2 linked regions of the Xenopus tropicalis genome follow. The protein of the gene in region 1 purifies or fractionates together with the protein of each later gene. This does not show direct contact. Links are inferred from orthologs where the notes say so. Each region holds a gene or a part of one and is shown on either strand. Other genes may lie near its edges. The genes, in order: bag5 and dnajb4.

Evidence for each region.
Region 2: the proteins of bag5 (region 1) and dnajb4 purify together in Homo sapiens (affinity purification with mass spectrometry; 4 studies listed by BioGRID and IntAct, with this or other methods). This does not show direct contact. The link is inferred for Xenopus tropicalis from reciprocal best matches to the Homo sapiens genes BAG5 and DNAJB4.

What each region holds. Positions count from the first base shown.
Region 1 is NC_030684.2:98,469,444-98,472,675, reverse strand, and holds bag5 (BAG family molecular chaperone regulator 5), read left to right. Parts: upstream 1-1,038; 5' UTR 1,039-1,072; coding exon 1,073-2,425; 3' UTR 2,426-2,727; downstream 2,728-3,232. UniProt on the Homo sapiens protein: Co-chaperone for HSP/HSP70 proteins. It functions as a nucleotide-exchange factor promoting the release of ADP from HSP70, thereby activating HSP70-mediated protein refolding.
Region 2 is NC_030680.2:80,147,683-80,151,616, reverse strand, and holds the start of dnajb4 (dnaJ homolog subfamily B member 4), read left to right. Parts: upstream 1-1,019; 5' UTR 1,020-1,266; coding exon 1,267-1,477; intron 1,478-3,934. UniProt on the Homo sapiens protein: Probable chaperone. Stimulates ATP hydrolysis and the folding of unfolded proteins mediated by HSPA1A/B (in vitro).

The sequences.
Region 1 (3,232 bases):
CATAATATAATTCTTTCACATATGAATAACTGTTGATATCCCCGCAGTGAGGACCAAGCATTTGGGTTTTTGGTGCACTACCACCATTGTGATAAAATGGGTGTGGTTTGAAGTAGGTGTGGTTCAAAAAAAGGGGAGTGGCCAAAACTGGCTTCCATTAGCGGCCCTCCACCGTGTATGCTAAAGAAATTCCGGCCCTCGGCACCGCAGAAGTTGGACAGCACTGGTATAAACTTTGACTAACTAGCATTATCTTCCCTTTATGTTTCACACCAGATTCACTGGTGTGCTGTGTGCACTGGCCTCAAAATTTGTGTGAGCATGGAAAAGTGTAAGAGGGCATCATGGCCAGTACTTTCTGCTAAACGGGATTCAGTTTTCTACTTAATTTAGCTACATAGTTTCATACTTAAGTTCTATGCAGGAATTTTTGGAGATAGAGGAGGAGAAAGAAAAGTATAACTAGAACATTATTTTATTAAAAACAGTTTAAGAAAAATCCTTCCAGTTTTTAAGTGAAGTGCGTGGGGCATAGGTTTCAATTATATATATATATATATATATATATATATAGCATGTTGCAAGAAGACAGGCACTCACGTATAAGTAGGTCCAAGGGAGCCTGGGTGCAGTCCCAAAATAATAGATGGAGTAGCTGTAGAGAGAGTCCGCACTCACAGGTCTTAAGAAAATATAGAAGTTTTATTCAAATCAACATTATTCAAATCAGTATATATATATATATATATATATATATATATATATATATATACAGTATATATACATGGATGAAGAGATGGTTGTAAGCTCTTTTGGGCAGGGCCCTCTTCACCTCTTGTATCGGTTATTGATTGCTTTATATGTTACTCTGTATGTCCAATGTATGTAACCCACTTATTGTACAGCGCTGCGGAATATGTTGGCGCTTTATAAATAAATGTAATGTAATGTAATGGTTAGACAATACCTGTTTTTTGTTTAAATAAACATGTCTTAGGAATGGCATCTTTACCTTTTTGTTTTTGGTTTTTTTTTTAGCACCAGTATCTTCTAAGAAATTGCTGTATTGAGTATGGATATGGGTAATCAACATGCTTCAGTCACAGCTCTTCAAGAAATACAGAAGAAGGTCAAAGAGATTGAACAACAAGTGGTGACATTTAGTGGTCTAAAGAGTGACCCAACTTATAAAAAGCTTGAAAAAGATTTAACTAAACAGTTATTTGAAATAGAATCTATTGAGACAGAGGGAAAAGGAAACATTCTACAAGCCCAAAAGAAAGCTACTGAAGAGACAGAAAGAGTTTTAAAGGAACTGGAGCAGAATGCAACCCATCCTTGCAGACTTGAGATCGAAAAGATCTTTAGTGAAACTCAGAGTTTGGTAGCGCTACATACTACACAATTTAGTGGGGAAGGTCAGAGAACAGATGAATTTGAGGAAGGAATTCAGAATATTTTGAAAAGACTTACTCAAGTAAAAACCGAGGGAAAGATCCCTCTAAGAAAAGCTAGGTACCGAACTTTAACTAAAGTTCTTGCCATTCAAGAAATTTTAGAAAGCTCTTCTAAACAACAAGTACTTTCTCTCCCTCTCTCTGCTGAGGCACATCCAACAGTTTCTAAAATTAACTCAATTATGTGTGATGTGAACAAAGCCAGATGCAGTCTCATAGCTCTTCTAGCTGGCGTCAATGACAATGAAACATACAGGCATTTATCTTGCACTCTTACTGGATTAATTGCAAACCTGGATGCTCTGGATGTTTCTGGCCACACAGACATAAGAGAGTATCGCAAAGAAGTTGTTAAGGAAATCAACAGTTTGCTGAAATATTTGGATTTAGAGGATGAAGCTGAGTTGGGAAGTGCTTATGACTTGGGCCAAAACCAGTCAATTGTAAAAATAGAAGAGATTCGCAAAGAAGCAGCAAAAATAAAGAACAGTCTTTTAGAAGTGCAGCAGCATATGTCTGACATCTATATGGGTACAAAGTCAGAGCTGCAGGGCCTCATAGCTAGCTTGGATGAAGTTAGTGTAGGGAGGAATCCTTGCATTCGTGAAGCTAGAAGACGAGCTGTAGTTGAGGTCCAAACTGTCATCACCTACATTGATCTAAAAGAAGCTCTCGAAAAGCGCCAGAGTTTACCAGAACACACAGTCTCAGAGCCTCCATGTTATATAGCTGTATGGACTGTCTTTGGACATTTATCTGAACTTCAAAAGGAAGTCCTCTTCTTTGATGGGAAGAGAGCTGATAAAAATTATATGAGATTAGAAGAATTTATTACTAAACAATTGCTGGCTCTTGATGCCATTGATTCACAGGATGGCCGTACAAAGGCTGCAAGAAAACAAGCTGTGAAGCTTGCAAATAATATCCTTGGATATCTTGATATGAAAACTGATGAATGGGAATACTAAAAAAAACACTGCTTTCGCTTTGCTTGCACTTTAAATATGGCTGTAAAGATGTCTCAGTTTCATCCTTGCATTATCATTGCAAGATAGGGTTTTTACTAAGCCAATTATCTGTCATAAAACAAAGCTTCAGTCAAAAGCTAGCCAGTTTTTGTTTTCATGTACCAATGGCGAAAAATTATAGAATGTTTAATGCTAAATATCCCAGTTTGACTTTATCAAGTGGAACAATAAGTGGCATATTTCTAGTTGTATCTCTCTTCTCATTTTTGTGCTGATTCTTAAATAAAAGTTCTGTCTTTTTTGATGGGGGTACAACATTGTCATTGTTATGTACACAAGTGAATAGTATGTACATTTTTAATTATATTGTTCAGTGTAAAAAGGCTGCTGCGTTTAAGGTATCTAATTACAAAATAGACATTGCAGCACATGCAGAATTAAAAGATGTAGTTCAGCTTGATTTCTGTTAATTCCTATGGGATTTTTAGAAGTGTGTTTATCAAATGATGAACTCTAACTTTTACCCAGTAATAAACAGAAATTAAGGGTGAATGTGGGTTTTCATGTATTAAGCTCTAAACTCATTTTTTAATAAATCAGCACCATTGTGTCATTATATATTTAGAGAATGTGCTTCACAAACCAAAATGTGCATCTCGTAATTCTGTACAGACAGCGAAAACATTCTTAAAGCATAGCACATGCTATTCAAAATGGGCAAAAAATTCAAATTGAATAAGGTTTTTTTTTAAAAAAAGATATACAAAAATTCACATTTTATCGCATTAAATCTTGCACAAGCTCTTG
Region 2 (3,934 bases), on another chromosome or scaffold:
CTCCTGAGCTCAGCTTTACCATTACAGTAGTCAAACAAAGCAGAACTTTTATCAGAGACAGTTCTGCCTGCGTGAGTCTGTATTCTTGATGAAATGTATGCTAAATATGGGTCTCTGTGTGTGTATGCTGTTTGCAGATTAAAATATATCTGATTAAGTATCAGGAAAAATGGCCACCAGGTGAAAGCTGCTATTTGCTTTAGGAAAATGTGATGGTGCTGGCAAACGGAGGGGATATATGCAGTACAAATGATGCCATTTGGGTGGGGGAGACGTGCCCAACTGATATATATTACTGATATATATTGTAGGCAAATGTAGGCTTTTCATGTCCTTTAAGATTGTACTTATACTAACTAAACTGTATAAGCTAGTGCAAACTAATTGCAGATGAAAGTAAAATTAAATATATTTCTTTTAAAACTGGAAAAAATATTGCCAGCCAGGTCACTGTTTCCTTTCTGAAAAATGAATGTTATTACCTTTCATTATGGCAGGCATGCTAGAAATGCATTCAGGATAAAATAACTCTCCCACAAAACAAAAGAACATTTGAAATCTGAAATACTCATTATAAACTGTATATAGGTATGGGGTCCATTATTCGGAAGCTTGTTATCCAGAAAGCTCCAAATTACAGGAAAGCCATTTCCAATAGGCTCAATTTTAAGCCAATAACTCAAAATTTTAAAACATTTTTTCATTTTTTTCTGTGAAATAACCTCATTCAGAGCTGTCTGAATAACATATTTCCGGATAACTGATCCCATACATGTACAAGTATTTCACTCTTATTTCTTTCAATTCCAAAGAAACACTATGTCCTATAAGGACAAGCAAGTGTGGAACTATTTAGCTGTTTAAAGCTTTAAAAGCCTGATACACTTTGCATGACACATTATTTACAGTTTTCCTGTTAATAATGTTTATAAGATTGTCATGGGTTAAGCATGTATTTGCTGTTGCTTCAAGAATAAAGCTTTGGCTTGTTTAAAAAAAAAAAAAAAAAAACTTCTAGAAAGAGCTAGTGGATTCTACAGGCAGCATAGACGTAACTGGGAGGCAGAGAGCTGATTTTTCTCTATATATGAGCAGTAGGGGAAGGAATCCTATCCCAGTAAAATCCAGTACTCTGGGACAAACTCTAATCAGATCAGACACTGGGGATTTCACCTTTAAATCAACCCATACATTTTAAGAACCATTCCAGGCAGAATAATCGTTTAATTAAACTATATTTTAGATCTAATTTATCTGACAAAAAAAATGGGAAAGGATTATTATTCAGTTTTAGGGATTGAAAAAGGAGCTTCGGAAGATGACATCAAGAAAGCTTATAGAAAACAGGCTCTTAAATGGCATCCAGACAAGAACAAATCTGCTCATGCAGAGGAGAAGTTTAAAGAGATCGCTGAAGCCTATGAGGTGCTAAGTGACCCTAAGAAGAGAGAGGTGTACGATCAATTTGGAGAGGAGGGTAAGTATTTTATGGTTATCCTTAAAAATAAGGCAATGCAGAATATTTATTATTATTTATTCTTCTCCCCCTCTATGTAGAGTGAAATCCAGTTTGTTAACCCTTTAAATAGTTGAGAGGAATATGATTTGTTTTTATGATCTAGCAAAGCAATGCTGTTGACAATAGGGCGATATTTGCTAATTGGGGGTTACACTGCATGAAACTTGTGTATTTGTCTATCAATATGATAGAATTACATTTTATGTAACGTACTACAAGTGTAGATTTATAAAGGTTATTTCTGAAGCATAACATGCACACACTGATATGTTTGCCATTATGTTTTATATAAGCTATAATACAGACATCTGTTTTTAATCTAGTATTGCACAACATTGTGATGCATGGTAACATGCATATAACCACACTTAAAGACACAAAATACCTGTCTGGTCGTATAAATGTTTATACGAAAAACCTGTACTGTGCTCATGTGCTGTCAATGTTTATTTGTGTGGACAGCACAGATAAAAAAAAAACTTTTGTTCTGATTGGGGGCAATGGTGAATGATCATTTTGGTACCATACATTGTGTAGAAGATCTGTCTGTAACTGGCTTCTTGCCCAGAAACCTAGGAATTTACATGATGTCATTAAATACCAGAACCATTTCTTTATGCTAATTTTATGTAGAGACTTAATGCCAAGTAAAAGTCTAAGAAAATGTCCAAATAAGTTAGAAAGAAGCAAAATCTTTTTTTGAGAATAGTGATGTATCATGGTACATTTAATGGCAATTTAAGTAGCTCTAAATATGTGTTAAGCACAAATGCCCAATGCTTCTACTGAGAGCTAGGTTTGCCTTATGGGCCAAATTCAAGAAGGGACCCATTGTGGCTTTCCAATGTGATACCATGCTAGTATTACTATTTATACTATTACCTCATAGATATTTGCATCCATTAATTTTAACCCACAATTTAAAAAGCCTACAACCCATCAAAATTACCTTAGGTACAGACAGAGTTGATAGCAGGGCTGCCATCAGGAATCACTAAGTTTGCAGGGCTTGCTTCCCGGGGGGGCTCCAATTATTATATATTATTAAAATACTTAGTCCTATTTCAAAGTATGCTGTTTGCCTGGGAAGGATTTTGTTTCTGAGAGGGCACTTCCAGGTAAAGGACTAGCAATGCTATAAAGCCAAAATATACTGTATATATATTTTCATTTAAAAATTGTTAATTTAAAAATCTGTTAATCCAGCACCTACAGATACACAATTTCTCCTCAGCAAATTGTCTTTCTGTAGTTCTGTAGAGCTATAAATGGCATTTTAACCATGTATCTTCCAGTGTAAGAACTAACCAATGTAATGAACACAGCTGTGTTACATCATGTGTGTAAACATGTGCCCAATAGCCCTAAATGCAGCTTGAATCAGTGCACAGCAGCAAAAGGTCTTACAACAACCAGATTCACTTGTTTGGCAAACTCTGGGCCAAATTGGCACCTTAAATCTGGCCATGTACGGCCACCAGTTATATAAACTGTAGTACTGCTTTTCAAGCAAATGCAATGTTTTTAAAAGTTCAGGGTAACAGTGATATTATTTAAATGCAAAAGAAAATTTTTGGTCTTAGCTCTAATTTAATGTCTAACATTCTCAGCAAATATGAAGCATAAAGACTGTAGGAGTCATTTATGAAGGCTGGGTGCAAAGTGCAGAAAACTGGTACAATCTGCCATTTTTTTCCCCTTTGGACCTTGTCTTCCAGATGATGGAGATCTATGGCCATTACCCTGAATACATTGCAGGAGGGGGCTTGTGCCCCTTAGGGCTCTTGTACTTCTGTTGCAAGAAATTGTGGCACTCTTTTGTGAAATATTGCAGGGGCTGCATTGACAGAGAATGAGATAATGCATATAGCTAGGAATTTCTCACCTGCATCATTCAGCAGTAAACTGAGCTGGTCAAGTAATGAGTAGTTTATTGGCGTAAACCCCAAAATAGTGTCAGGGGCGTGGGCCTCCAGAGAACTAAATCTGGGTGATTTTTTTCACCATGTCCATGGCATGTCCAACCACTTTATTCTTTATTCTTTTTTTAGTTTTTGCGGACTTTGATTTTTGTATTTATTAGGATACTGGAAGTATCACCATTTGCAGTTTACATGATTGGCTGTGCTTACAATATTAACCTCACTGTTGAAATACCAAAAAATGTTAAATCACAGTACAAGCCAAAGCCAGAAAAGTATTTTGTTTATGTTAAAACATGAGGATTTTTTTTTTGCAAATGGGATTTTTGGAGGGTCCCCTTCAAAAAACGGATTCATTCCAGCAGTAGCATTCATAAAAAGGCACAAGGATTTATCCAAAACAGAGAAGGTAAATAGTTTTATGGTCTGTTGAGTTGATTCCCTTGTTTATAGGATACTGGGAAGTTGTAAATAGCAAAAGTAATTTAGATTC